2 linked regions of the Tamandua tetradactyla genome follow. The protein of the gene in region 1 interacts with the protein of each later gene in a biochemical or structural test. Links are inferred from orthologs where the notes say so. Each region holds a gene or a part of one and is shown on either strand. Other genes may lie near its edges.

Region 1 (16,153 bases):
CTATTTTAAGTTTTTACTTTAGCTGCTCTAAGATACTGGAGACAAAAAGAAATACCAATTTAATGATTCAGTAATCCTATTCATATGTTAAATCCTACCTTCTCTGTATAACTCCACCATCACCTTTGATCTTTCTGTCCTACTCTTTAGGGGTATTTAGGCTATGGCCATTCTAGCTTTTTTCATGTTGGAAGGGACTGTCAATAATATGGGGTGGGGAGATGGAACTAGCTGATGTTCTGTAGAGGCTGCACCCTCTAGGTTTCAGGGCTTATCTGGTCCAGGGATCATCTGGAGGTTATAGGTTTTTGGGAAGTTACCCTAGTGCATAGAATCTTTGTAGAATCTTATATATTGCCCTAGGTGTTCTTTGGGATTGGCTGGAGTGGTTTTGGTTGGGGTTTAGCAAGTTATAATAGTTACCAATGTTTTACTGAAGCTTGTGTAAGAGTGACCTCCAGAGTAGCCTCTCAACTCTATTTGAACTTTCCCAGCTACTGACACTTTATTAGCTACACTTCTTTTCTCCCTTTTGGTTAGGATGGAATTGTTGATCTTACGGTGCCAGAATTGGACTCCTCCCTGGGATCATTGCACTATGTTTTGTGTTTAAGATTTTCTATAATAAAAGTATATTTTTCATACCCTCATGGGTACAGTATTGGAAATAGCCTGCTCTTTCTTGATATATGAATCCCTATCTTTCATCATAACTGGAGCTTCATACTCAAAATCTCTAAAAGACTTAATCCAATACCTGAAAAGTCTCTGCAAGATAAACTTTAAACTATGTAGCAAATACAACGCTTTGCTAATTTAACCTGAAATGTTTAAGCAAGATTAATAGAGACCTTTCAGACTCCAGAAAGTACATCATTTCCTCAAGTACCACTTAAAATCTAAAATATTAAGATTAGTTGTTCTTGGTTGATAGTTATGACCTGCAGCAGGAAAGTATTTCCAAACTAGATACAGAAACACTCTGCTTGCCCTCTTTTTTCTCTCTTCAAATAAATATTTCTTATGTCAATTTGCTGCTTCTTGGACAATTATCAAAAGCTAAATGGGCCCTTTCTGAAAATATTTGCTTGAAATTCAGTTTTTCTAAGCTAATTCCCCCTTGTGCTTCAATCTATAACCACAGGAAAGTTCTTTCCCACTAACCAAATGTAGACTTCGTTGTTGAGGATTTGTTCTGTCATTAACGGAAATTCTCAACTTTACATTAACTGAGAACTTCCCTGTATAACTTAACTCTATGAATTTTTATCTCTAAGTCTCAGACTCATGTATCCAGTTTCAGTAGGCATCTAACTCCAGGGGTCTCCCCATCAGTCAAATCTAACAAATCAAAACTTGAATTGCTGCCGCTTCTCCCCAACCTGATACTCTTCTGAGATTCCCCATCTCAATAAATGGCTCCACCATTCACCTCATGGTTCAAGTTAGAGACTTCAGGGCCACCCTTGTTTTTTCTCTCCCCCTATATCTCCCCTCTCTTTACCTCCTCTCTCTTTTCCTCTACTGTCAGCCTGGCTGAAAGCCACAAACATCTCAACCTGAGTACTGTTTAACATTTTAAGCAGGTAAGTTTTATTTTCCAATTAGTCAAATATTTCTTGCCTACCATGCGGTAGAGATTCAAATAAGATTTTTTTTTAAGGAGAGAAAAAGATTGTTAATCAATAATTCCATAAATATGACTAGTGCGTAAAAGAAACATTTATGTACAAGGTTCAACAGAACCCGGAAAGAGCTGCTTATTTCTGCCTACCTCCTTCAAAGAGCCCAGGTGAAGACTGAACTTTGTTTTGAAGGATGAGACATTTTCTAGGTGGACAGGTAGTATAAAGGCACAGTGGCATAAAACAGTATTCCAAGCTCTTAGAATGATCAGAGTCAGTATAAAGGAGGAGAGGGTGGGTGTATAAAAATGGCAGGCAAGGCTAGCTAAGTTGACAACCGCCAGATCATGAAGATCCTTGTAGATATGCTAAGGGATTTGGCACTGATGTATAGACAATGGGAAAACATATAGATATAGATGACTTGCGGGAACTTTATATATTTATTTATGTGTCTGAAGAATTGGACTGAATAACTTGAAAGCTATCGAGAAATAAACTGTAGTTTAAATTATGAGATGAATGAAATTCCTCAGGGAGAAATAATAGTGTGAGATGGGGAAAGGACTCAGGGTAGAACCATGGGAGACATTAGCATTTTGGGTGTGTGTGAAGGAAGTGATGCCTTTGAAGTAGGCTGCTGAGGAACTGTCCAATAAGAAGGAGATGTACCAAGAAAGCTTGGAGTCATAGAAGTAAAAGGAGGAGAAAGTTAGAGCAGATGCCAGAGAAAGACCAAGAAAGATAAGGACTAAAATGTCTCCATCGAATCTTGCATTTAGGAAGTCCTTGGTGACTTTAGCAATAAGAGTTACTTCTGATAGAGAAGCAAAGAAAGAGACAACCTGAATGTAGGCATTCTTTTAAGAATCATGTATCTCCAAACATCTCTTTTTCCAAAACGGTTCCCTCTGAAAGAACTCCAGTAAGTGGATTAAGACCCACTTTGAATGGGCAGAGATACATCTCCATGGAAAGCACCTAATCAAAAGGGCCCACCCACACTTGGGTGGGTCACATCTCCATGGAAATAACTTAATAAAAAGATCCAACCCAACAATAGGTCTGCCCCTGCAAGATTGGATTACGATAAAGAATATGGCTTTTTGGGGGGGATACATTAACAGTTTCAAACCAGCCAGGTATGTTCAGCAATAAGGTCTCCTCTTTCTAAATAAGATGGCTGTGGCTAAGAGAAGTTCATAGTTTACCTATCCATTGTTCTTTTATTACCCATGGGTTACTGGTAGAGTCTCTTAGGAAATGACAGGATTTGATACCTTAAACCAACAAAATTATTTGAATGGTGGGGATTTTAGATATCCGTGTCACATCAGTTGTGAATATACATTTTAGGTAAAGGAACTTTCTGGAACAGCTCAAATTATACCATATACCCACTCTGCTTACTCAATAACTTAATGCTAACCTTTTTTAAAGTAGACACACATTTGGAAAAACAGCATCAACTGCTGCATGGTGAGAAAAGAGATTCTGAGACATAGTCATTTATGATTAGTAGCCAAAATATAAAATACTTCCCAACAAAATATAAATATTGTTAGTCAGAATCAGAGAGAGTTGACCAATTTTAATTGTAAAATTATTGAAACAATGATTATGAAAGAATAGTTTGAGTCTATAATAAAATAGCCTTCTAAAATTTATTTTTAAATTTCAGTTTGGGAAAAAGAGTCCATCCAAAATAATTATGTATGAACATAGTACTAACAAAGAGTATCAATTTTCTGGATCAGTGGATGGAAAGTTTAAACATGTATGTATAGTATGAATGTGTATTTGTATGTAGGTATAAATAGGTGAATTACAAAAGTCCTTGGGGAGATTGATTCCAATCAAAACAGGGAAGCTTTAACACGTATACCTTCCTTTCTACTCGCTTGTTCCCCTTTGATGGGGAGGGATTCATATATTCATATCGCTTTGTGCTCACTTTCAGCTGCCCAAGGTCTTCCTATGAAATCTTGATTCCTATAACACTCATATCTTTCTTATCCTGACTTTCCAATTCTGTCTAAGATTACTTGTCCTGTGTTTAATTCTCTCTCATTAGTAAAAGGCTGCCTGATTTGGAAAAATAGTTAATGCTAGGACAGAAGGTAGTCACAGAGATGCTACCAGAATGGCATACTGATGGATTTAGAATTTAAAAATTTTCCAGGAATAAGATTTATAAGCTTCCCAGCAACTGTTTAAGGGATCTTGTCATCTAATGAAAATTTCAAAAACTTTACATAAGATGTTTCACAGAGATTAGCCAGAAACAAAAGGACAAATACTGTATGGTCTCACTGATATGAGCTAACATTAGTGAATGAACTTGGAGAATTTCAGTTAAGAACAGAAACCATCCAGAGATAGAAATAGGGTAGATTTTGGATAATTGGAGCTGAAGGGATACAGATTGTGCAACAGGACTGATTGTAAAAATTCAGAAATGGATAGCATGATACTACCTAACTGTAATACAATAATGTTAGTACACTGAGTGAAGCTGAATGTGAGAATGATAGAGGGGAGAGGGCTGGGGGCACAAATGAAATCAGAAGGAAAAATAGACAATAAAGACTTATATAGTATAATCTAGGAATGCCTAGAATATACAATGATAGCGACTGAATGTACAAATTAAAAAATGTTTTTGCATGACGAAGAACAAAGGAATGTCAATATTGCAGGATGTTTAAAACAGATGGTAATTTATGTTTTAAAACTTTAACTTTTGTGGGAGACTAAGCAAAAAATGTTTATTTGGCTCAAAATTTATATTTTGACTAGTGCATTTCTTAATACAATTATGTGGACAATTTAATTGAACACCATAAGTACATAGAACCTTGAATAGGGTATGAGATTTTGTAGGCTTCTCCAGAGTGATGCTGTGATAAATTGCAGAGTGATTTGAACAGTGAATAAAAAAGTATTTCCAAAGTCCCCTTGGGGGAATGGCAAGAAAGGGGGAGAATTCAACTTCTCCATGTGGAGAATTCCTGATATTCTCACAAGCAGTGGGGAAACCAAAGCAAAGGCCGATCCCTCAATCTTGGAAACTTATCCCTGCAAAGGATGGGCTAGGCCTACTTAAAATTAGGCCTAAGAGTCACCCCCAGAGAACCTCTTTTGTTGCTCAGATGTGGCCCCTCTCTCTCTCAGCGAACATGACAAACAAACTCACTGCTCTCCCCCTCTCTATATGGGACTTGACTCCCAGGGGTGTAAATCTTCCTGGCAACATGGGACAGAAATCCTAGAATGAGCTGGGACTCAGCATGAAGGGATTAAGAAAGCCTTCTCAACCAAAAGGGGGAAGAGTAAAATGAGACAAAATAAAGTGTCAATGGCTGAGAGATTTCAGAGTCAAGAGATTATCCTGGAGGTTACTCTTACACATTAAATAGATATCACATTTTTATCCAAGAGGTAATGGAGAGACTGGAGGGAACTGCCTGAAAATGTAGAGCTGTGTTCCAGTAGCCATGTTTCTTGAAGATAATTGAATAATGATATAGCTTTCACAATGTGACTGTGTGATTGTGAAAACCTTGTGTCTGATGCTCCTTTTATCTACGGTATGGACAGATGAGTAAAACATATGGATTAAAAATAAATAAATAATGGGGGAACAAATGTTAAAATTTAGTAGATTGAAATACTAGTGATCAATGAAAGGGTGTTGTAAGGGGTATAGAAAAAATAGGGGAAACAAAGGTTAAAATATATTGGGTAGATGGAAATACTAGCAGTCAATGGGGGGGGTAAGGGGTATGGTTTGTAAGAGTTTTTTTCCTTTTTTCTTTTCTTTTTATTTCTTTTTCTGAATTGATGCAAATGTTCTAAGAAATCATCATGGTGATGAGTATACAACTATGTGATGATATTGTGAGTTATTGATTATATATCAAGAATGGAATGATCATATGGTAAAAGAATGTTTATGTTTGTATGTTTTTATGTTTTAAAAAAAGAAATGACTCACAGATACCTATTTAACATGGAAATTCAGATTGAAGAGAATGTTTTCACATGACTGGATGAAGTAGTTTTTCTTCAGGTGGAGTCCATGATCACCAATATCAGAATCATCCTGGACATTTCTTTCAAATGCAAATTCTTCTCTCCATCTCCTTATCTACTGAATCCTAATCTCAGAGATTGGTTCTTATGAACATTTGATGGGAGATGCACTAATCTGTCTGTTGGGTAAATTCAGCATTCTTGGGTTAACATCAGGCAACCTAGCAACAAGCTGGTTCTGCAGAGAGGCTGTAAAGACTCAGGTCGAAACCAGTGTTGATAAAGAAAACTCCCAAGATGACAGTGTCAAACAGCTTGTTTGTAAAACCAACAAGATTGTGGCCCCTATAGGAATATTGCTTTCCAAATTTGCCAGTGATCCCTGTTCCCTCCCAACTCCTCTATAGATATGTGAGGTGTCAGTGTGCCAGGATCCCTCTTCTGGAAAAGTACCCTGGTGCATCTAGTCATGCCATGCCCAAGCACAGCTATCCATGGTTTGGTTAACAGCAGGAGAATCCTGTGCACTCAGCTGGCCCAGGTCTATGAGTTTCTGTTTTGTGCCTGCACTGTGTGTTCTTGTGTTGTTTATTTAGCATATTCTCATATTGCTTAACAATTCCAATATTTGAAAACTACCAGAGCATGCATTATTTAATACATGCATCAATGATTTGGAAGAAATAAACACATCATCAAAATTTGCACCATAGATGATCTTATACTACTCTAGGTACTAAGGAGTTATATAAATGGGAATAAATTGCAGATGGATTTTTTTTTAGAATTTTGACCTAAAGAAATATCTTCTTTAAATTAGATGCTTCCTTAAGACATCACTATGGCTAAAACAATATTTTTGTAAGTATATAAAAGAGGTGTAAGAATGTATATTGATTCTATGCTCTCAACTCAATACAGTTTTGGCTCAACAGTTCCTGTGGCTATTGAACAGGATTTACTTTTTGCCAGTTAATGTTAGCATGACCAAATTGCAGAAACTCTTTTTAAGAAGTTTAATTAACTCCTTGATGACCTAAGGAGGCGAAAATTTTGTGATAGGGTCAACAAATTAAAAACTTTCTTTCATCTGGGATAAAACTATGTTCATCTTCATTTGTAATATTGTATTCTGAACATTACATCTGCGAGGAAAATCTAAAGTAGAGAATATCCAAAAGAGAAAGCAATAATTGGAATTGGGAACCAGTGAAGGAGAACATAATAATCAGGTTCAAACTCTTTAGAGCAGATGGAAAAAAAAGGCCAGAGAGGATAAAAGACCTAATTCTGTAAAATCATGAAAGAATGAAAACGATAGACACAAAATTGTTCACTAAATCCTAAAGCATAGAGTGAGGGAGCATCCCTAAAAGGTAGGTCAGTTTAGGCCAACTAGATAGAAGTATGACTTCACATAAAAAATAGAACTTGTATTACCCTAAGTGGTGATTTAATTGATTTTTTAAAAGTTAAGATAAACCAATGGCTGATAGAGTCCCTGTGAAGTACAGGAGTGGCAAGGACCTAATCTTTGAGGTTGAAATCCAGGACAACAGCCAAACTTCCCACCCTTTGTCTGTATAACTCTTAGAGATAAAATGCTGTGTCTGACAGGCCATACATCTGACCTAAGTTAGTAATCAGTGTGGCTTTAGGAGATAAAAAACAGATGGCTAGAAAAGAGTGATAAATTAGCAAAGGAACCACAGGGTACTCGTGCTTTAATTAAAACACCATTAGGATGTTTACAGTGTTATTACTTGTATCATATGTATGAAAGGTATTTTTTTCATAAAATATTAGCATGTGATTCACACCTTGTATTATTCTGGGATCAGCATGTCTCAGTGGACTACAAGGCCCTCATAATCTGTTCTCTACCTCCTCTGCTCCACTCTAAGATCATCTTCTGAAATGCTTCCATTACTCACTCTTTGCCAGCCATACTGAACCTCCTTACATTTCCTCTGGCATACTAACTTTTTCCTGCCTTGTCGCCTTTACCTGTTTTGTTCCCCCTGGCTGGGTACTCTTCTCTCACATGTACCCATGGCCAGTTCCCTCTCATCACCAAAGTCTTTGTAGAAATGTCACCTTCTCAGAGAGCCCCTCTCTGACTATTCCATCAAAATTAGCACCCTGTTGTCCCACTAGTACCTTACCCTGTTTTATTTTTCTTCTTATCTCTTAACAACACTTGACATAGCATATATGTACTTGTTTATGATCTGTCTCTTCCACCAGAATAGAAGTAAGCTTTGTGTTGAACAGGGACTTTATATCCCCAAAGTCTATAACAGAACCTGGAATAGAACATGCAGTTAATACACATTTGTTGCTGTATGAAGGATGAGTCAGGTTCCGTAAGTTTTGGACTACTGCTTATGCTGGATAGCACATGGATTGAAACTGTGATCAAATAAAGGCTATGCCTTCTAAACCGCTAGTGACTACTACTTCTTAGATTCTAGGTACCACATATTCTGTACATATATAAGTTGTTACAACACTTATTTGAAAGAGAGCCAGGATCTATGATTCCATTCAATAAGCAGTTTTTATCTAGGTAACCTTGTCCTTTAAAAAACTCTTATTCTACAAATTTTGAAAAGTCTAAAATGTGTTTCCTAAGTACATACTTGTTTCCTGCTTTTTGCGAATGACTTGTGTTTTAGCAAACTTTACTGAAATTTTAGGGAAGAAAAGGAGGTAACCCAACTTACTGGTGGGTATTGGGGCAGTGTTACATCAGAGCGACAAAAATAATTTTTTTTGCTATTTATGGAATTTATGGAATCCTATTTATTAAAATCCTTTTGCCACTCCACCTTCGGAAACTTTTTTCCATTGGCTGATTCACTTCTATGGCTTCTCTCTCTTTCGCATCACATTCTTGCCCTTCTTCTCTCTCTTAGATTGTCTTCAGAGAATTCCAAATTCCTCTCCCTCTGTCTTTCTTTGGTTCCTACTCTCAAACTTTGCTCTGGGCTTTTCTTTTCATTCCCAAAGTCATTAATGTGTTCAGTAGGAGAAAACTATCCTTTCATAGGATCCACTCTCAAAAGACAGTCGCAGTTTTAATATTTTTTTCCTCAGGTATGAAAAATTTACTAAGGCTTCCTGTTTATTTAATAATTTAAGGGATTACAATATATTTCTTATATCAATCAACTCTTTGGGAGAAACAGTGTATAACTTAGGTCTTTATTGAAAGACTAGTATACGTGAAGCATTATGGTAAAAGGGGCTTTCCATTATTAGTTACAAATGTAATGAACACCTATCTTCCATGCACTTAAGACATTTACACTTCACCTTCCAGATTACCCAGCCATGAGACACCTGGACAGTTCCTGTGACCTTAGTGACCATGGCTGACAGCTTCAAGCAAAGCAACTTTTGTTTACACATATTTGGAGCATCTAATCACCTTTCTCTACGAGAGTACAAAGATCGCCAAAAATTTCAGACATCTAGTTTTGTTTTCGTAGGACTGGGCCTTCCACGTTAAATGTGTACATATGATGTGTTGTATGGTTATGTCCGTTCTTTTTTGACCAGAGGCTTGGCTTCAGAGAATGAGTTAAACTTCAAGCCACAAATTCCACGGAATTAAAATCTTTCTTTTAGTTAGTCCTAAATTTCCAATCTGACAAGAAAAATAACGTAGTTATGAGACACAAAAGCAATACTGCTTCCTCCCCCTCAAGGCCCGGGACGCGAAGTAACACCACGGAGGGCCGGGGAACGCGGGGAGCGGCAGGAGACCTGGACCGGGCTAAGCGCACCGTGGAAGAGGCGGAGCCCCCTTCGCCCACCAAAATCTTTCTCCTAGCCTTTTCCTATCCTCGGCTCCGCTCCCACGCAGCCCTCCCAGGTCCGGCCGGGAGTTGGACAGTGGAGGTGGGAGGGGTTAAGGCGAAGCCCCTCCCCCACAGTGACGTCTAGAGACGCGACGCGACGCGACGCAGTGCAAATCGGGAAAAGGGGATGAACTGGGCTGGCTTCCGTCGGTATAGGGAAGGGCTAATTCTTCCTCGGGCTGGTGGGAAATGGGCCTTTGGCGAGGAGGCTGGTGTTAGTGAAGTACCCCCGGCGCCCCGGTGAGTATGGGACTGGGTCCTGACCTGTCGTCCCCGGGAAGTCGTCCTCAGTGAGCCCCCTTTCCTTCCGCCGGCTGCTGGTCACCCCGGAGGTAAGCCCTGTCCACCGAGAGGGGTAGCACAATCCCCAAACAAATAACCGACTATAGAAGCAAGGGCCCAGCCTTGAGTCTTTCCCGCCGTTCACTTAGCGTTGCCTAGCGAGTTTCCTGTGGACTCAGGTTTTCCTCTTTTAGAAGATGCCATGGTCATTCCCTCTGGACGCTCAGACTAGAGTTTGACCTCCTTCCGCTTGCCTCCTTGTTCTGATCTTCTGCTGTCAGTCTGCAGTCACAGGCCTATCAAATGCTCAGTGTTTCCCAATCCTTCCTCTGCCCCAGTCACACTTTATTTTAGTCAAGTTGCATGTATGAGTTTAAAGACTATTAAGTTCATCCAGTTAAAACTGTGACTTCTCCAGCTCCAGAGCGTTCTTTCCTAAACTGTGCCTTTTATCCTAGAGTTGTAGGGTAAGTTAATTTCATCTCCACACCACCTTGGAAATTATTAGAATCCTGAATTGCATTATGTGCATTTATCCATAAAGCTGCAGAGCACACTCCTGGATTCATTTATTGCCTCTAGTTCAGTGACCTTGAAGCAAGTCCCTTAATCACCAACAGAAAATTTACTACATTCACAGAGATGTTGCGGATCCTGAGGGAATTTGATATTTGTAAAGAGCTCTGAATGTTTCAGATGAAAGGAATACCTAAGGATATTACTCTTTTTGAATCTGCGTGCATCCTTAGTTTAGTGTGTATCTTGCTGCAGCCATTAAAAAGGTCAAGTGATATTTGTTAAGGAAGTGTTCCTGTTTTTGGCTTGCTCTGCGGCTTTGCTTTGTAAGCAAATTTTGCATTTCAACAGATTCTGTTTAAGGATCATTTTTTAATATCTCTTTCATGATGGATTTAGATAATTTTTCTGTCTTCACAGTTCTGGGCCAGTTTATCTGAAAGGTGATGTAGGTTGTGCTATGTCTTTACCTTGTGATCCAGCTATCTTGAAATGTGTATTCCTTTCTTGTGACACATTAGTTGCATTTTAAAAATTAAAATACTAAGGATCCTATAAGAGTAAAAAAAATGAAACTACTATTAATGAAATTGTGTCCCATAGGTATACATTTTATTTTTTGAGAAGACAGCGTATGAAAAAAATAAAACCATTTTAAAGATGATTTTAAATTTTAATTTTTTATATATTTTTTGTACTTTATTAATCATTGTGGGCATTTGTTTGTAAGTCTGAATATAATGGAACATAACCAAAGTGGCTTTTGTAGATTTAAAGAGTTGGGAAATAAAGCCAGTACATCAGATTTTTTTTAGACATTTTCACAAAGTATCTATGTTATATTTTATAATGGTATTTTATTTATTATAAATATATTTATTTTGAACTTTCTGCAAGAAAATTCACTTTTGTATAGGTAAAAGGAAGAAAAAAAGTGAGTACTTATAAGAGTAAATATCATTAAAGAAGCATTTTTTTCGTATCTTATTCATTGTCCCACTTACATAATGCTGTGTAACAAATCACCCCAAAACATAGTGTCTTGAAATTGCATTTTTCATTTCCCTCATGTTTCTTTAAGTTGGCTGGATTCAGCTGCATGGGTCTCACTTAAGTGAATCTCATACGTTTGTAATCAGGTCAGCAGCTAGGGTTGGAGTTATCTGAAATCTCAACTAGGCTCAGTATCTAGAATGACTTATTTATATGGATGGTAGTTGATATTAGCTCAGAGCTGGGTTGGGATGTCAACTAAGAGCCTCCATGTGGCCTCTTCATGGGGCTTGGGTCTTCTCATAGTATGGTGACTGGGTTCCAAGAACAAGTGATTGAAGAGACAGGAAGTGGGAGCTGCCAATCTCTTAAAGCCTGAACCTAGAAATTGGTATAGCATTGCTTCTAACATTTGCTCTTGGTCAGAGAGGTCAAAGAGGCCTCCCCACTCTGCGACAGTAGATCCCTGTCTCTTGAAGGGAACAATGTCAAAGAAATTGTGGCCGTCTTTAGCCTACCATAATTATGGTGAAAAATTGTATTGGACCAATGTTTGGATTTATATAGTAGGTGCAGAATATGGTACACTTCTGATTTATTTGAACATAATGCTTTTTATCTTCATGATATATTCAGAGCATTTTTCTGTATATATATTTTTCATCTGTACCTCTTCAGAAGCAGATGTACATGCATACATACATCCCATACCCCATACCCCTCCCTCTCATTGACCACTAGTATTTCAATCTACCCAATTTATTTTACCCCTTACTCCCCCTAATATTTACTTATTTATTTTATCCATATTTTTAAACTCATATGTCCATACCTTGGATAAAAGGAGCATCAGACACAAGGTTTTCACAGTCACACAGTCACATTGTAAAAGCTGTACAGTTAGACAATCTTCTTCAAGAATCAAGGCTACTGGAACACAGTTCAACAGGTTCAGGTACCTCCCTCTAGCCACTCCAATACACCATAAATTAGAAAGGGATATCTATGTAATACGTAAGAATAACCTCCAGGATAAACTCTGAAGTCTGTTTGAAATCCCTCAGCTACTGAAAGTTTATTTTGTCTCATTTCTCTCTTCTCCCTTTTGGTCAAGAAGGCTTTCTCATTCCCATGAAGCCAGGTCCTGGCTCATTCTGGGGAATCAGGTCCCACATTGCCAGGGAGATTTACACACACCCTTGGGAGTCATGTGCTATCCTATGTAGAGGTGGGGGAGAGCAGTGACTTCTGCCAAGTTGGCTTAGAGAGAATGGCCACATCTGAGCAACAAAAGAGCCTCTCTGGGGGTGAGATTATCAGTAGGCTTAGCCTCTGCTTTGCAGAAATAAGCATCATGGGGCAAGCCCCAAGATTGAGGGCTCAGCCTATTGAGTTGGTTGTCCCCATTGCTAACAAGAATATCAGGAATTCCCAAGATGGGGAAGTTCTCCAGTTCCAGTCCTCCAGCTGTTACTGATTTTCACCTTCATTCCATTATGATCAGAGAAAGCTGTTTGTATAATTTCAGTCTTTTAAAATTGATTAAGACCTCTTTTGTGCCTCAGCATGTAGTCTGTCCTGGAGAATGTTCAATGAGCACTTGAGAAGAATGCCTATCTTGCTGTTTTGGGGTGTGGTGTTCTATATTTGTCTGTTAGGTCTAGTTCATTTATGGTTTTATTTAGGTTTTCTGTTTCTTTATTGATCTTCTGTTTAGATGGTCTGTCTATTAAAGAAAGTGGTGTATTCAAGTCTTCCACTGTTATGATAGAAATGTCTATTACTCCCTTCAGATTTTCCAGTGTTGGCCTCATTTACTTTGGGTCACCTTGATTAAGTGCATAAATATTTATGATTGTTAATTCTTTTTGGTGAATTGCTCCTTTTGTTACTGTGTAGTATCCTTTGTTTCTTATAATGTTTTTGCATTTAAAGTCTATTTTGTCTGTTATTAATATAGCTACCACAGCTTTTTTTTTTTTTGGAGACTGCTTGCATGCAGTATCTTTTTCCATCCTTTCACTTCAAGTCTGTGTCTTTGTATATAAAAATGAGTTTCTTGTAAATAGCATATAGATTGATCATATATTTTTCTTATACATTCTGACAATCTATACCTTTTGATTGGGGAATTAATCCATTAACATTCAGTGTTATTGCTGTAAAAGCAGTCCTTTCTTCAACCATTTAACCTTTGGCTTTTATTTATCAGATCTCTTCCTGCCTCCTTGGTGGCTCATGAGAAGTCAGAGCTTAACCTTATGTGGCTTCCCTTGGATGTTGTGAATCACTTTTCTTTTGCTACTTCTAGGATTTTCTCATTGTCTTTGACATTTTACAGTCTGATTAGTATGGTCCTAGAGGGGGTCTATTTGAATTTCTCTGTTTGAAGTATTTTGGGCTTGTTCAGTTTGCATATTATGTCTTTTATGGGAATTGAGAAATTTTCAGCCATTATTTCCTCAGTCTTCCTGGCCTTTCCCCCTTCTCTTCTTTTCCTGGGATACGTATGATGTATATGTTTGTACATTTGTGTTGTCAGTCATTTCCCCAAGACCCTGTTGAAATTTTTCCATTTTTTCTCCATTTGCTCTTTTGTCTGATAGAAATCATTTGCTCTGTCTTCTCACTCACCAATCCTTTCTTCTGCTCTTCAAATCTGCTGTCATGTGTCTCTGGTATATTTTTAATTTCATCTACCTTGTCATTCATTTCCATAAGATCTGTTTTGCTATGCATTCTTTCAAATTCTTCTTTATGCTCTCCTGTCTTTTTAATAGCTTCATCTCCTCAGCCATCTTGTTTAAATTATTTAAGAGATTTGTTTGAACATCTCTGAATAGCTGTTCCAAAATCTGTTTCTCCTCCAACTTTTTAATTTGACTGTTTGGCTTGGCCATATCTTCTTTTTTCATAGTTTATCTTTTAATTTTTTGCTGGTGTCTGAGCATCTGATTATCTTGATACAATTATTTTGAAAGTTGGTTTCCTTATCTGGTCTACAATTTTTTTGTTGCTTGGTGTTTTAGTTTGCTAAAGCTGGCAGAATGCAATATTCCAGAAATGGATCAGCTTTTATAAAGAGAATATATTAAGTTACAGGTTTACAGTTCTGAGGCCATAAGAATGTACAAACTAAGACATCCAGAGAGAGATAACTTGACTTCAAAGAATGGCCGATGTCTGTCACATGGGAAGGCACATGATTGGCATTTGGTGGTCCTTGTTCCTGGTTCCATTGCTTCCAACTTCTAATTCCAATGACTTCCTCTCTGAGCAGCTGTGGGCCCTTACTAACTGCTCCTGAGCAAAACTCTGGGTTTTATCTGTTAGCTTAGCATTTCCCAAGGCTGGAGATTTCTTCTCTTCAGGTTTTGGCTATTTTTGTGAGTCCTTGCTTAGCACCCAGGCCTTTACTATCTTCATCTCCAAATGTCTGTATCTATGTTAGCTCTTTTAAGGATTCCAGTAAACTAATCAAGACCCACTTTGAATGGATAGGGTCACATCTCCATCTAATCAGAAGGTCACATCCACAATTGGGTATGTCACATCTTCATGGAAGCAATCCAATCAGAAGGTACCCCCCCCCCCTTCAGAATTGGATCAGGATTAAAAGAACATGGCTGTCTCCACAAAATATGACTAGGAGCAAAAGAACATGGCTTTTCTGGGGTACGCAATAATTTCAGATCAGCACTGTTGGGTTTGTGTTAAAGGGCTTATTTGGCCCTTGGTTCATTAGTATTTCACAGCCAAAGCAGGGCCAGGTTCCCATGCAAGGAGTGTGACCCAGTTCTAAAGGGCCTTAGGTAAAGGCTTAGGAAAGCAGCTTCCCAAGACCACACTTTCCCAGCCTTCTCTGCAGGTGCTGTTCTTTGGCAGCTTATTCCCCACAGCCATACAAATGCGAGTTATTTTTAGCCCTCATCCCCTTTATTTCTGAGGCAGGTGGAAGTAATGGACCATGATGCTACGAGTGCCTGTACAGAAAGTAACAAGGCTGTGGGACCCCACAGTCAAATTTGGCTGACCAACAAATAAATCAGAACTATGCTGCCTCCCCCTCTGTTTCCAGGTGGGTGGACTTATCTGACTGTCCCAGTCCATAGTAGACAGTCCTGTGAGACTGGGCTGACCAGTAGCTCTTGGCCTTGCAGGTAGGGAATGTGCACTGGGAGCCTCAGTGGTATTGAGTCACTTACTGCAATTTCTCATGACTCCACAGGCTCCCAGTGCTCCTGCCTTGAAAGGGTCAAGTTTTCAGATCCTAGAGGGTCAGCTTCACTGGATAACAATTAGATTAGGTCTGTGCTGTGGCCTCCTCTTTTCCTGGGGAGAAGGCCTCCTTATCTCTCTCAGCCTGCAGCAGCCAGCTGGGCAAGAACCATGCCACCCTGAAGCTGCTGGCCTTGGAAGTGGACGATGGGCACCAGGAGCCATGGCTGAATTCAGTCCCTCACTGCGGTTTCTTTTTTGTGGTTTCTTCATTTCTTCAACTTGCTCTTCATTATATGTTGCAGTGGTCCTCCGTCTCTCAAGCCTGAAACCTGTTGCTTTGGGCAGTTTGCCTGTTCTCTAGATGTTTTTGGTGGAGGAATGAGTTCTGCCTCTTCTTATTCCACCATTTTTCCAGAAGTTGCTCTGAATAGATTTTTACAGCACTGCTCTCAGGCAGTGTTTCTGGTCATAAAATACCAGAAGCTTTAGCAGTGATTAATTCCTCAGAGGGTTGAGCCTTTTTTAACATTTAGGATTATTTCAAAACAGATTATTTCATCAATACTTACTTGACTGTGGCATTTTAACTAGAATGAGAGTACAGTGGATTACATG
Region 2 (16,058 bases), on another chromosome or scaffold:
TTGTATTATATATATCATATCTGATTTTCCTTCTTTCTACACTTTACTCCATACCTCTCTCTTCTGTCTTTTCGTATCTGACTCTAGTGCTCCCTTTAGTATTTCTTGCAGAGCTGGTCTCTTGGTCACAAATTCTCTCAGTGACTTTTTGTCTATAAATGTTTTAATTTCTCCTTCATTTTTGAAGGACAATTTTGCTGGATATAGGAGTCTTGGTTGGCAGTTTTTCTCTTTTAGTAATATAAATATATCATCCCACTGTCTTCTAGCTTCCATGGTTTCTGCTGAGAAATCTACACATAGTCTTATTGGGTTTCCCTTGTATGTGACAAATTGTTTTTCTCTTGCTGCTTTCAAGATCCTCTCTTTCTCTTTGACCTCTGACATTCTAACTAGTAAGTGTCTTGGAGAACGCCTGTTTGGGTCTATTCTCTTTGGCGTGCGCTGCACTTCTTGGATCTGCAAATTTAGGTCTTTCATAAGAGTTGGGAAATTTTCAGTGATAATTTCTTCCATTAGTTTTTCTCCTCCTTTTCCCTTCTCTTCTCCTTCTGGGACACCCACAACACGTATATTTGTGCGCTTCATATTGTCATTCAGTTCCCTGATCCCCTGCTCAAGTTTTTCCATTCTTTTCCCTATAGTTTCTGTTTCTTTTTGGAATTCAGATGTTCCATCCTCCAGTTCACTAATTGTAGCTTCTGTCTCTTTAGATCTACCATTGTAGGTATCCATTGTTTTTTCCATTTTTTCTTCTTTGTCCTTCACTCCCATAAGTTCTGTGATTTGTTTTTTCAGATTTTCTATTTCTTCTTTTTGTTCAGCCCATGTCTTCTTCATGTCCTCCCTCAATTCATTGATTTGCTTTTTGAAGAGTTTTTCCATTTCTGTTCGTATATTCAGCATTAGTTGTCTCAGCTCCTGTATCTCATTTGAACTATTGGTTTGTTCCTTTGACTGGGCCATATCTTCAATTTTCCGAGCGTCATCCATTATTTTCTGCTGGTGTCTGGGCATTTGATCAGATTTCCCTGGGTGTGGGACCCAGCTGGTTGAAAGCTTTTTCTGTGAAATCTCTGGGCTCTGTTTTTCTTTTCCTGCCCAGTAGGTGGCGCTTGTGGCGCTCGTCTGTCTGCACGGCAGTCGGCCCGGGAAACCGCGCGTGGAGGCGGGGGTCGCTGGCCACCGCGGCTTGGGGGAGTGCCGGTCCTAATTGCCCAGCTGGCCCGAAACACCAAGCGTGACGGGAGGGCCCCGCTATCCAACGTTCCCAGTCAGACCGGGGAGCCACGTGCGTGGAGGGGACCGCAGTCGCCAGCCGCCCCGGCAGGGAAAACGCGCACCCCTTGGGTATCTCACCGCAGCAGATTCTCCCTGCCCGTTCAGCTGTTCCAGAATGGGGTACGCTGTCTTTTTGGTCTCTGTCGTGACTCCGGGAGCTGTTTCGTATTGTTTCTGTTTCTTTAGTTGCTTTTCTGGAGGAGGAACTAAGACCCGCGCGTCTTACTAAGCCGCCATCTTCTCCGGAAGTCCTGTATTTCTTTTTCTTGCCTAATTGCTCTGGCTAGAACTTCCAACACAATGTTGAATAATAGTGGTAATAGTGGACATCCTTGTCTTGTTCCTGATCTTAGGGGGAAAGTTTTCAATTTTTCCCCATTGAGGATGATATTAGCTGTGGGTTTTTCATATATTCCCTCTATCATTTTAAGGAAATTCCCTTGTATTCCTATCTTTTGAAGTGTTTTCAGCAGGAAAGATTGTCGAATCTTGTCAAATGCCTTCTCTGCATCAATTGAGATGATCATGTGATTTTTCTGCTTTGATTTGTTGATATGGTGTATTACATTAATTGATTTTCTTATGTTGAACCATCCTTGCATACCTGGGATGAATCCTACTTGGTCGTGATGTATAATTCTTTTAATGTGTTGTTGGCTACAATTTGCTAGAATTTTATTGAGGATTTTTGCATCTGTATTCATTAGAGAGATTGGTCTGTAGTTTTCTTTTTTTGTAATATCTTTGCCTGGTTTTGGTATGAGGGTGATGTTGGCTTCATAGAATGAATTAGGTAGTTTTCCCTCCACTTCGATTATGTTGAAGAGTTTGAGGAGAGTAGGTACTAATTCTTTCTGGAATGTTTGATAGAATTCACATGTGAAGCCGTCTGGTCCTGGACTTTTCTTTTTAGGGAGCTTTTGAATAACTAATTCAATCTCTTTACTTGTGATTGGTTTGTTGAGGTCATCTATTTCTTCTTGAGTCAAAGTTGGTTGTTCATGTCTTTCCAGGAACCTGTCCATTTCCTCTAAATTGTTGTATTTATTAGCGTAAAGTTGTTCATAGTATCCTGTTATTACCTCCTTTATTTCTGTGAGATCAGTAGTTATGTCTCCTCTTCCATTTCTAATCTTATTTATTTGCATCCTCTCTCTTCTTCTTTTTGTCACTCTTGCTAAGGGCCCATCAATTTTGTTGATTTTCTCATAGAACCAACTTCTGGTCTTATTGATTTTCTCTATTGTTTTCATGTTTTCAATTTCATTTATTTCTGCTCTAATCTTTGTTATTTCTTTCCTTTTGCTTGCTTTGGGATTAGTTTGCTGTTCTTTCTCCAGTTCTTCCAAGTGGACAGTTAATTCCTGCATTTTTGCCTTTTCTTCTTTTCTGATAAAGGCATTCAGGGCAATAAATTTCCCTCTTAGCACTGCCTTTGCTGCGTCCCATAAGTTTTGATATGTTGTGTCTTCATTTTCATTTGCCTCTAGGTATTTACTAATTTCTCTTGCAATTTCTTCTTTGACCCACTCGTTGTTTAAGAGTGTGTTGTTGAGCCTCCATGTATTTATGAATTTTCTGGCACTCCGCCTATTATTGATTTCCAACTTCATTCCTTTATGATCCGAGAAAGTGTTGTGTATGATTTCAATCTTTTTAAATTTGTTAAGACTTGCTTTATGACCCAGCATATGGTCTATCTTTGAGAATGATCCATGAGCACTTGAAAAAAAGGTGTATCCTGCTGTTGTGGGATGTAATGTCCTATAAATGTCTGTTAAGTCAAGCTCATTTATAGTAATATTCAGATTCTCTATTTCTTTATTGATCCTCTGTCTAGATGTGCTGTCCATTGATGAGAGTGGTGAATTGAAGTCTCCAACTATTATGGTATATGTGTCTATTTCCCTTTTCAGTGTTTGCAGTGTATTCCTCACATATTTTGGGGCATTCTGGTTCGGTGCGTAAATATTTATGATTGTTATGTCTTCTTGCTTGATTGTTCCTTTTAATAGTATATAGTGTCCTTCTTTGTCTCTTTTAACTGTTTTACATTTGAAGTCTAATTTGTTGGATATTAGTATAGCCACTCCTGCTCTTTTCTGGTTGTTATTTGCATGAAATATCTTTTCCCAACCTTTCACTTTCAACCTATATTTATCTTTGGGTCTAAGATGTGTTTCCTGTAGACAGCATATAGAAGGATCCTGTCTTTTAATCCATGTCTTTTGATTGGGGAATTCAGTCCATTAACATTTAGAGTTATTACTGTTTGGATAATATTTTCCTCTACCATTTTGCCTTTTGTATTATATATATCATATCTGACTTTCCTTCTTTCTACACTTTTCTCCATGCCTCTCTCTTCTGTCTTTTTGTATCTGACTCTAGTGCTTCCTTTAGTATTTCTTGCAGAGCTCGTCTCTTGGTCACAAATTCTCTTAGTGACTTTTTGTCTGAGAATGTTTTAATTTCTCCCTCATTTTTGAAGGACAATTTTGCTGGATATAGGAGTCTTGGCTGGCAGTTTTTCTCTTTTAGTAACTTAAATATATCATCCCACTGTCTTCTAGCTTCCATGGTTTCTGCTGAGAAATCTACACATAGTCTTATTGGGTTTCCCTTGTATGTGATGGATTGCTTCTCTCTCGCTGCTTTCAAGATCCTCTCTTTCTCTTTGACCTCTGACATTCTAACTAGTAAGTGTCTTGGGGAACGCCTATTTGTGTCTAATCTCTTTGGGGTGCGCTGCACTTCTTGGATCTGTAATTTTAGGTCTTTCATAAGAGTTGGGAAATTTTCAGTGATAATTTCTTCCATTAGTTTTTCTCCTCCTTTTCCCTTCTCTTCTCCTTCTGGGACACCCACTACACGTATATTTGTACGGTTCACATTGTCTTTGAATTCCCTGATACCTTGTTCAAATTTTTCCATTCTTTTCCCTATAGTTTCTGTTTCTTTTTGGAATTCAGATGTTTCATCCTCCAAATCACTAATTCTATCTTCTGTCTCTTTAAATCTGTCATTGTAGGTATCCATTGTTTTTTCCATCTTTTCTACTTTATGTTTCACTTCCATAAGTTTTGTGATTTGTTTTTTCAGTTTTTCTATTTCTTCTTTATGTTCAGCCCATGTCTTCTTCATGTCCTCCCTCAATTTATTGATTTCGTTTTTGAAGAGGTTTTCCATTTCTGTTCGTATATTCAGCATTAGTTGTTTCAGCTCCTGTATCTCATTTGAACTATTGGTTTGTTTGTTTGACTGGGCCATATGTTCAATTTTCTGAGCGTGATCCGTTATCTTCTGCTGGCGTCTGGGCATTTAGTCAGATTTCCCTGGGTGTTCGACCCCACAGGTTGAAAGATTTTTCTGTGCAATCTCTGGGTTCTGTTTTTCTTATCCTGCCCAGTAGGTGGCGCTCGTGGCACACGTTTGTCTACGGGTTACAGCAGTGAAAGTTGCTGTGGGTCCTTTAACTCTGGAAAATTCTCGCCGTAGGGGAGGTTCGGCAGCCGAAGCGTCTTGGAAGAGTGCCAGCCGGCCTGGGGTTCCGAATGCGGGGAGGGTCGCCGGCCACCGCAGCACGGGAGAGCGTCTGGCCGAATTAGCTAGTCGGCCCGGGGCGCCAAGCGTGGCGGGAGGGCGCCAGCTGTCGCAGCCCGGGAGAGTGCACTGTTCCCAGCCGGACGGGGGAGTCACGTGTTTGGAAGGGATCCCCCGGTCACTGTTCACAGCAGCCTGGGGATTTCCGACCCAACTCTCTGTTGGTCCGGGGGGCCTCGTGTGGTGGGGGCACCAGCCGCCGCGGCCTAAGGGGACCGCCTGTCCAATTCTACCAGCTGGCCTGGGAAGGTGGAAGGGAGGGACTCCGGTCGCTTGCCGTCCCACCCAGGAAAGCCCGTGCCCCTTGGTGATCTCACCGGAGCTGGTTCTCCCAGATAGTCAGCCGTTCCAGGATGGGGTACGCTGTCCCTTTGATCTCCCTCGTGGCTCCGGGAGCTGCTCTGTATTATCTCCACTCCCCCAGTAGCTGTTCTGGAGGAGGAAAGGTGAGGGTGGCAAAGCTGTCGAGGCTGGTGGTGGAGGAGCTGGTGAAGGTGGAAGAGGGGAGAGGAGGGCAGGCGGGTCTGCTGCTGCGGGGCGTGGGCACCACGCGGCGGGCCGGCGGACAAAAGAGGGGAGAGGAGGGCGGGCGGGTCCGCTGCTGCCGGGCGTGGGCGCCGCGCGGTCCTTTTACTTTTCTGTAGCTCATTTTTTAAAAAACCTGGTTAACAATTAAATTCTCTGTTCAATTTAGTGTTGTTTCTGTCTTCTGGCTGGATCCTGACTAATAAAGACCCTAATCATGTTGATATTCCAAAGAAGAAACATCAATGTGACTATATCTCAATAAAATTGCAAAAGAAAAAGAACAGATACAGTGAGGAATCTCTGGCAAGCCCCAGTGGTACAGAGAAGGGCAAAAAACCCGTAAGGATCAGATGAATTTACTAATGTGGACTTAGTGTCCACAGCTTGCTCTGAAAGACAACAATGAGAGGAAATCCTCAGACGTACATTTGGTCATCAGCTTGGTATAGGTATGTGGGGAAGGTGGCCCGAGGGAAGGAAATCATCAATTTGAAGTGTAAACCCAAATTAATAAAGAAAACTTTAAAGAGGCTGGATTTATCTGAAATTGGTAAGATTATTTTGCATTTGTCATCAGGGAGACAGAGACTCAAAAAAGATGGTATTATAGAAAGATGAAAATGCATCTCTTTGCACACCAGAATTTGTGGGTTAAAACCAACATATTAGATTCATTCATTAGATGAAGTAACTTCATTAGATGAAGTAACAATGAACAATATTTGTTTTTTCTTGTTTTTAACATAGGGTCTAGCTCCTAGTGACTATTCAAAATTTGTCGTTTGAATGAACTCATCAAGAACTGAGTACATACATCTAAAGGTAAACACCTATAGATTTTTGGGTGTACTTGCTATTATGGAGCAGGAGGAGCTAAAGAAGTCACTTTAAAATGTGAATGCTTTCCAAAGGCTAATCCTCAACCTCTGCTCTTAGCTCAATACAACTCTCTGACAAAATCTCCTCTCAGGGTTTTCAAGTGCTGCAATAACCTCCTAAATTGTTCCGTCTGGGTCTGTTTCTTTATATCCATCATGAACACTGATGTCAAATTAATATTCCAGAAACTGTTTTATTATACTACTCTGCTTCTCAAAATCCTTAATGTGCTAAAATTGAAATTTCTTAGTTTGCTCTTTAAGGCTCTTCTCTGTTTCCTCCTACCTTTATCTACCCGTTTTCTTTTCCAATACTGAGCCTTAACTCTAGACAAACCCACCCAGAAAGGCTCCAAATATCTTGTACCTCCTAGGTTCAGTGGCTTTTGAAAACCAGCCCCTTCATCTGCAGATATTCCCTTCTCATTTCTACACCTATCTTTAAAATAAAAAAATGCCGCTATCTTTCTGAATTATTACATGTGTAAGGCTTCTCTCTTCTATAATACCATCTCTATACCTAGAGGTTGTAAAACGATTTTATTTGTTCCACTGTTTAAAATGTTGAAATAGTTCTACTAGAAGTGCTAATATTATGGGCCCATATTTCAACAAACGGCTGAAGCTTACTAACAGTTGCAGTCTTTAGGTATAAGCGCTGTTCAGTTTGATAGTACAAAAGCATTCATTGAGCACCTATTGTCACTTTTAAACGCTATGGATACAGCATAAATAAAACTGATCATGGTGTTTATATTTTAACCAGGAAAGACAGACAAATAAATGATATATTACGAAGAGTTAAATACCATGGGAAAAAATTAAACAGGGTTGAGAGGAAAGGACAATGTGTGTTTGGGAAAGATTCTTGCACTTACACATCCATTTTTAAACTGGCTGGCTGCTATGGGAATCTGAGTTTGTGACTCCTACTGTATATCAGGATCTTCCCTATGCTGTCATGTATGAATAACTGCTCCTATAAAACCGTCAGCAATTCTTGAAGGCAGGGACTGGGCTTCATTCGTTCTTGTATTCCAAGAACCGAGCAATGTTTTCATGGCGAGAACACTATGGAAGGCGAAATTAGGACGTCTTACAGATATAGTTTCTTGTACTACTGTTTTCCGGGTGTCTTTTTTTTTTTTTCTACTGCCGGGGTCAAGTGCAAAAGAGGATACAACACCGAAAGCGCCCGGGAGCTGAGCCAGGCCATTCCCAGACTGTCAAAGCCACCTGTGTGTCGGCGGCTCCGTTTCCAAGGCAACAACACTGTGACAGAAACGTAGTTGCGGGCCCACGACTGCAAGGGACTGGTTCAGGAACTAACCTGACACAGAAATAGGAACGCGGCGTCTAAGCCGGTTGCCCTGAGCAGAAAACCCAGGATTGCCCGGACTCTGCCGAATTGCCACCGATTCAATAGCTTCCGGGCCTCCGGCGTTGCCCGGTTCTAGGCGCGACAACTTCCGGCGCCGAAGGTCCCCGCTCCGTGGCTCGGCGGGGTCCTAACGATGGAAAGGTGGCCAGGGCGGCCGCCTGAACCATGAGGGAAGCTGGGAACACGGCTGCCACGTTGTCCCGGCGCGCGGCGGCGAAAGGGCCACCGGGAGGATGTCCGCGGCTGGAAAGACTTTGACCCGGGAGGCTACCTCGCGGCTGGCCGCGGGGCGGAGCGTGGACCGGGAGTCTGCCCGTCAGGCGGGAGCCGGGCAGGTGCGGTGGCGCAAATGCTAGGACTGTGGCCCGAGCTCAGCGGGTAGGAAGCCGCGGCCCGGGGTCACCAAGCAGGGATTAGTTGCGGAGCCTCAGCCAGACTCCAGCGACTAGGGCTCGGGTGCTGGCGACATGCCTCTTTTCACCGCTAACCCTTTCGAGCAGGACGTTGGTGAGTGGCGCCGGGCTGTCTGTCCAACTAGAAAGTGGGAGGCGGCGGGTTTAAGGATTAGGAAGTCTAGCTGAAGGAGAGAAGGGGCGGTGCCGCCGCCTGGGCGCCCGTGTTTTTTAGGGGGTATCCTGCGCGCGTCGCCAGCGGTTTAGAGGATGTCTCCTACTTTTCTGAGGTCGAGGACCCAAAGACTATCGTTCGCCACGCCAAGCTCCGGAATCGGAGGAGCGTGGGGGCTCGCTGGAGGCTGGACTAATTAAGCTATTGCGGAGTTGGTGATAGAAACTTCCTGCTCTCCCTCTCCTGGCTATTGAGCCCCGCCGCCCTCCTTTTAGGGCGATGATGCTGTAGTGGGGACCCTACTGTCTAGGGCAACCCTAGAGACCTTGATTCACCCCGTTATGTAGGGAAAATTCATCTAACGTTGCTTATATACAAATACATCCAGTTCCTGATGGTGCAGCCTCAGGATTTGTTTACAGTTGGAGGTGTTACTCTTGAATCTCAAATGGCGCAGGTGTTACGAGATGTTTTCTGTCTCAAGAGTATGAAAAGGAAAGTGCCAACCCGAGGATCTCAAAACAGTTCAAAACAGCTAATATTTACTTGTTGGGTCGTAAGAGTATTTGCCTCTCAGTGACAGTGGAATGAGAAAAGGAAGGATGAAACGTAGAGACTTATTTTGAGCTTTGGAATAACAGTAAAACAAACTAAGAAAACATTTCGTAGCAATAGTTAACTCTAGGTAGAGTTTTAGGCCTTGGTGGAATAAAAAGCATAGCTGAAAATTGCCTTAGTCTCGCAGGCAGCAGCAAGCCACCTGTTTCATAGTTACATTTTTCTAATTATGAGAAGACTCTAGAAAGTTCCTTCTTTTGATATATTATGTGAAGCTATAGGTGTATTCAAAAGTCATATATGTGAGAGTCAAATAAGACGAATGTTATAAGCCTCTTCTATTCCTAGAGAGCTGAAATATTTATATCTTGACCCTCAGATAGTATTCAGGTGGGCATGTTCCTTATTTCATTAAACTTTTTTCTTGATAATGGAACACAGTGCCTGACATAAATCTGGGAAACAGCATGTTGAAGTGCACTGTTTCTGCTTTTGGAATACCTAATGGTTTCTTTGTTGCAACTGTTTTACCTTTGTGAGAATTGTACTTTTTGTTTTTTCCTTAGTTTTTTTTTGAGTTGTACTTTTCAATGAGAAAGACTTTTATTTTGTTCCAATGAAATAAAATAGAAAGGGTGAAATAGAATAAGTAAAATGATCTTAAAATGTAAAAATGGTGGAATTATTTCTTCAAGGGAAATCCTTCCCAGAAGCCCAATGTTTTTGTGATTGAAAACTTCCCTGGTCTAAGTAGGCTGAGGAACTCTGCCTGTTTGCTCTCTAAATCTTACCTTCTGTGGTTCCTGAGGCCCTCCACATGGTTTAGTGGAATATAGTTTAGTAAAAGAGGCACTGTTGTTGGGACCAAAAACTCTGCGGTATATAAATTTTTTTCACAGGAGTGCCATCAGCAGAAGCCTCAAGTGCTTAATTGTTAGCTCAAGTATGACTGAATGAAAGAACATGTTTGATTGAGGCCCACCTGTAACTTTTAGTCAAGTGCAGGGAGTTAATAACAAAAGTGGAATGATATACTAAAGATTTCAGATTAGCCTTTAAACCTGTATCATAACAGAAGAATTCTATTTTACATTTTTCAGATCTTAAAAGCGCCTTTTAATTTGAAATAATACAAAGCAAGTCATTATTTATGACTTGAGATGTCTACAGGAGTGTTCCCTCACAGTCTTTGTTATTGTCTTTTTCACCTGCTCTGTTTCTTCTTGCTGTACATTTGTTCACTGCTCATTCAACAAACATGCACCAAAAGATACTCTGTCAAGCATCGTGTTAAGTTCTGGGGACAGGAAGTTGAATAAATAGATTGAGAGTTTCTGCCCTCAAAGAACTTAATCTAATAGAGGACACATATGAAAAGAACATTAAAAAACCCATGCCTAGCTGGTCTCTTGGTCACAAATTCTCTCAGTGATTTTTTGTCTGAAAATGTTTTAATTTCTCCCTCATTTTTGAAGGACAATTTTTCTGGATATAGAATTCTTGGTTGGCATTAAGCAGATAGCACCTTGTTCAAGATGTAGCGGAGAGGCTGGAGGGAACTGCCTGAAAATGTAGAGCTGTGTTCCAGTAGCCATGTTTCTTGATGATGATTGAACAATGATATAGCTTTCACAGTGAGACTCTGTGAATGTGAAAACCTTGTGTCTGATGCTCCTTTTAGCTACTATATCAACAGAAGAGTAGAACATATGGAATAAAAATAAATAATAGGGGGAACAAATGTTAAAATAAATTTAGTTTGAAATGCTAGTGGTAAATGAAAGCGAGGGCTAAGGAGTATGGTATGTATAATCTTTTTTTTTCTCTTATTTTATTTCTTTTTCTGTTGTCTTTTTATTTCTTTTTCTAAATCGATGCAAATGTTCTAAGAAATGATGAATATGCAACTAGGTAATGATATTAAGAATTACTGATTGTATATGTAGAATAGATATCTTAATGTTTTGCATGTTAATTTTTTTAATTAATAAAAAAGTTAAAAAAAACCATGCCTATAATATGTATATGTAGTAAATGTAGTAAATACAGTGCTATTCAATAATATGTAATATGTAGTAAATATAGTGCTATCAGAAGTCCTCCTTGCAGACAAGACAGTGACTTTCAGTTAAGAGCTTTCCCTGTAAAGATGTTTGCCACTATCCCTGCCCCCTCCTTTCCTGATAGCATTTCCACTGGTAGGAAGCAGCCACGAGTTACTGTATGTAAAAGATGGTCCTTTTTAAATTAAGGACTTTAAAACTGAAACACATTCCTGTCATAGATGTGGAGTCTCACCTGGAGATTGAGCAGCCTTTTCTGACATCATTTGTGGGGGAAGAAACCCTTTCCTTAGGCCCTGATCTGAAGCTTATGTCTTGATCTGAGCTGTGATAGGTCAGAATGGTTAGGAAGGCCTTCAGAAGTTGATGGTGTGTAACTTTTCAGATGGAAACCAGCTAAGGGTTAGGAAGAAAGAAGTTCTGGCAAGTTCCTACTTTTTCTACAATCCTTGAAGGCGAAGTTAAGTAAGCTAAGAAGGGTATCGTTAGAGTGCTTTTATGTTTGATGATTTTCTTCAAATCTGGATTTATTTTTTGCTTTGTTTAATAAATTTTTTTTTGTAGCTTTGCCAAGGGGGAAAAGAAGAAAACATTCCTCCACTTCTGCCAAACCCTACTGAGGCCTGAGTCCTAAAGGGGGAATAGAGATCCTGAGGCAAAGCCTGGTTGAGGGCAGCCAGTGTTGGAGAATTATAAGAAGAAAGTGAAACACAGAGCCTCAGTAGGAAGGTTTAGTGGTTGGTGTTTAAAGAGATGTCATTTCCTTATATTCTGTACCAAATTTTTCCAACCTCACCACATTGGTTCCTGAGTTGTAACTTGTCTGTTCTACTCCCTGACTTCTTTCTTGTTTGCATGCTTCCGGTTACTCAAGCCTGATGATCTTTCTTGCTAATTTCTGTCACTGTGCCATTTACTTTCCATTACTACCCTTCTGATATTTTTTCCGCCAGAGCCTTGATATCTCTTTCATTCTAGATATATTTGCTTTTGTCCTAGAAACTGAGCTCAAATTCTACCTCTGTAAAACTCCTCTAACTCAGTGACTTGAAGTGTGAACTTTTATCTTAAAAAGAAACTTTTCTCAGTGAAATTTGAATATTTATATTCTTGTATCTTTTGCTTGTGTATGTGTGTGTGTGTAGAACTTGATATGGAGGCAAGTTGGGATCAGTACAGTGGCTTTCAAACTTTTCAGTCATGGAATCCTTTTCTCAAATGAAATTTTATAAGAAAATAAAAATACGTATTGGTAGCATTTCAATAATAAACATTTATACATTCAGATTTCTATATTTGCTTATAAAGTCAATTCTTGAACACAATTAGGTTGTTAAAATCTTTGCAAAAACTTACAGGTTATGGATCAAAATCAGTCTTAACAGACTTTTTTCCTATATCTTATTTTGCTTGTATGCTACCAATAATCCTAATACCTTTAGCTAGTCACAAATTTTAATGAATGTATTTTGTGATTTTTGAAAGTATGAAGTATTTTTAATACATATATATATTTTTTGGCATTGGCAGACTCTGGGAATCAAACTCGGGTCTCGGGTGTTGCAAGCAGGAATTCTGCCACTGAGCCACCATGGCACCGCCCAAAAGTATGAAATGTTTTTGAGCTGAAATTACAGTATGTAACATAAATTCCTGCTCCTACCAGTCAATTCTGTGAGGTGCTAATATTTTGTCACAGTTTTTTTTTTTTTAATTTAAGAAAGCATTCATGATATATTTGAATTATCTGGTATTTTTAACAGCAGCCTGGTACTATTCTTTTCCTTCTCACCTCAGAGTTAACCATTCTCCAAATAGATATAAATTCGATTTTATAATATACTACAAATACAAATGTATTGTTGCATTGCTTTATATTTTTTAAACTTAAAAAGGTCTTTTGTGTACCATTCTGCAGCTTTTGCATTCAGCATTTTTTGAGTTATGTTGATATTTGTACTCTCGCTAATTGCTTTTAACTTCTATGTGTTCCACTTTGTGAATATACCACATTTTATTTGTCCATTTTCCTGTTGATGGACATGAAGTTCCCAGTTTTTTGCAATTACAAACAGCACTACGGTGAACGTTCTTATTGATATTTTCTTGTGCACATGAGCAATAGTTTCCCTAGGGGTTGTATTTTTTTAAAATATTTTTATTGTCAAATCTTCACACACATAGAGTCCATACATGATGTACAATCAGTGGCTCACAATATCATCACATAGTTGTGCATTCATCACCATGATCATGTTTTAGAACATTTGCATCACTCCAGAAAAGAAATAAAAAGAGAAACTTATACATCCCATATCCCTCACCCCTTCTTCTTATTGACCACTAGTTTTTCCATCCATCCACTTTATTTTACCCCATATCCCACCTATTATTTATTTATTTTTATCCATATGTTTTTACTCTCTGTTCATACCCTGGACAAAAGGAGCATCAGGCACAAGGTTTTCACAGTCACAGTCACATTGCAAAATTATACCTTTATACAATCATCTTCAAGAATCAAGAGTACTGAAATACAGTTCAACGGTTTCAGGTACTCCCCTTTAGCCACTCCAATACACCATAAACTGAAAAGGAGTATATATATAATGCATAAGAATAACCTCCAGGATAAGGACTCTGAAATCTTTCAGCCACTGAAACTTTATTTTGTCTCATTTCTCTCCTCCCCCTTTTGGTCAAGAAGGCTTTCTCAACCCCTTGATGCTGGGTCCTGGCTCATCCCTGGAGTTCTGTCCCACGTTGCTAGGGAGATTTACACCCCTGGAGATTAATACCATGTAGGTGGAGAGGGCAATGAGATCATCTGAGTTGGCTTAGAGAGAGAGGCCACAACTGAGCAACGAAAGAGTTTCTTTGGGGGTGATTCTTAGGCGTAGTCTGCCCTTTGCAGGAATAAATTTGATGGGGTGAACCCCAAGATCTAGGGCTTGGCTTGTTGATTCAGTTTTTCCCCACTGCTTGCGAGATATATGAAAATTTTTCCAAATGGAGAATATTTCTTCCTTTCTCCCCAGTCCCCCAGGGGGACTTTGCAAATACTTCTTTATTCACTGCTAGGACTGTATTTTGAAGGGTAATTCTGTAGAAGAGTAGGTGCATTTTTTTTCCTTCCTTCTTTATGATTGCCTTAACTATTTTTGTTCTTTGTTCTTTCATGTAAATTTTATTAATAGATTGGTTAAAAATCATTATCAAAGGAATTTCTTTATCTTTTTGGCTCTTTTAGGAGTTAAGATAAAAGAACATTTTTTGTTTCACATCAACTTATGAAATCCATAATTAAATATAGATTTTTATTCATTGATATATATTTAATTCTAAGGTTAATTAGATTATGGTTTGGGAGTAAGGTAAATAATAAATAAGGTAAGAGAGTGTGCTGGTTTGAAAGGATTATGTCCGCTAGAAAAGCCATGTTTTAATCAAATCCCATTTCATAAAGGTAGAGTAATCCCTATTCAATACTGTATGTTTGAAACTGTAATCAGATCATCTCCCTGGAGATGTGATTTAATCAAGAGTGGTTGTTAAGCTGGATTAGGTGACGACATGTCTTCACCCATTTGGGTTGGTCTTGATTAGTTTCTGGAGCCTTATAAAAGAGGAAACATTTTGAAGAATGAAAGAGATTTGGAGAGAGCAAAGAATGCTGCAGCACCACGAAGCAGAGAGTCCATGAGGGAGCAACCTTTGGAGATGAAGAAGGAAAATGCCTCCCAGGGAGCTTCATGAAACTGGAAGTCAGGAGAGAAAGCTAGCAGATGATGGACGCCCTATTTGCCCTTCCAGCTGAGAGAGAAGCCCTGACTGTGTTTGCCATGTGCCTTCCCACCTGAGAGAGAAACCCTGAACTTCATCGGCCTTCTTGAACCAAGGTATCTTTCCCTAGATGGATACCTTTGATTGGGCATTTCTATAGACTTGTTTTAATTGGGACATTTTCTCGGCCTTAGAACTGTAAACTAGCAACTTTTTAATTCCCCTCGTTAAAAGCCATTCTGTTTCTGGTATACTACATTCTGGCAGCTAGCAAACTAGAACAGAGAGTAAGAGAATGATTTTCTAAAATGAAATATCCAGTGCAGTGCTATAATAGTGTAGTTAGGTATTTATGTTTGTAGCGCTGCTTTCTTTGTTTAAATGAAAGATTCTCAAAGGTATCCTGGATGTTAAGAAAAACTGTGTTTATAGGTATGTTAGTATAAAATATCAAACTCTGATTTCTCGTCAACTGATTGTTCTAATCATCTGTCACCCTGATATCAAAATAAAATTTAGGGTTATATGGTTTCTTCATCTCCTGTTATTTTTTATCCCCTTCCTTTGTTGCCTTGTATCCCCAAATCTGACCTTTTCCCTCTCCCACCTCAGTTTCTTACTTGGTCTAAATTATATAGTTAAGGCAATTTTTTTCTCTTAATCTTTTTCTACTAACAATCAACCTTTTTCAGACCCCTTTCATCTGAAGAACACTCTAGAAATCCGAGATTTTTTGGTATTGTCTGAACCTTCTTTTCCCTTAACCTTTCTTTTTTAGAGTGGAGTTTCACATTAGCTTATTATCATCTCCAACTCCTCTTTTTTTTTTAAGTAATAAATTAGCTCCTTTTTTTTAAACCTACCCTTAACATTATGTACTTAGTAGATTTATAACTGCCTCTGCTTGAAGAAAAACACCTCTGTTTCTTCCACATCCTATGGAACACTTAAATTTCTTTATCATTGAGATCTGTTTATTACAGCTGTTACTGTTCCATGTGAGGACTACTTTCTTTAGATCCCTCTTGTTGAGGAATATTGAAAACTGAAGATCCTGTGAAGTACTTAACAGTTCTGACCTACCTTTAAGGCAAGCTCAGGAACTGTATTTACTATCTCTCTCATTGTTCTAGTTTGCTAGCTGCCAGAATGCAATGTACCAGAAACAGAATGGCTTTTAACAAGGGGAATTAAAATGTTGCTAGTTTACAGTTCTAAGGCCTAGAAAATGTCCCAATTACAACAAGTCTATAGAAATGTCCAATCAAAGGCATCCAGGGAAAGATACCTTGGTTCAAGAAGGCCGATGAAGTTCAGGGTTTCTCTCTCAAGTGAGAAGGCACATGGCAGACACAGTCAGAGTTTCTCTCTCATCTGGAAAGACACATGGTGAACACGGTCAGGGTTCCTCTCTCA

What was found.
Region 2: the proteins of USP8 (region 1) and STAM2 form a complex in vitro, tested with the Homo sapiens proteins (3 studies listed by BioGRID, with this or other methods). The link is inferred for Tamandua tetradactyla from reciprocal best matches to the Homo sapiens genes USP8 and STAM2.

What each region holds. Positions count from the first base shown.
Region 1 is NC_135340.1:64,909,061-64,925,213, forward strand, and holds the start of USP8 (ubiquitin carboxyl-terminal hydrolase 8), read left to right. Parts: upstream 1-9,635; 5' UTR 9,636-9,858; intron 9,859-16,153. UniProt on the Homo sapiens protein: Hydrolase that can remove conjugated ubiquitin from proteins and therefore plays an important regulatory role at the level of protein turnover by preventing degradation. Converts both 'Lys-48' an 'Lys-63'-linked ubiquitin chains.
Region 2 is NC_135329.1:122,444,056-122,460,113, reverse strand, and holds the start of STAM2 (signal transducing adapter molecule 2), read left to right. Parts: upstream 1-7,825; 5' UTR 7,826-8,138; coding exon 8,139-8,178; intron 8,179-16,058.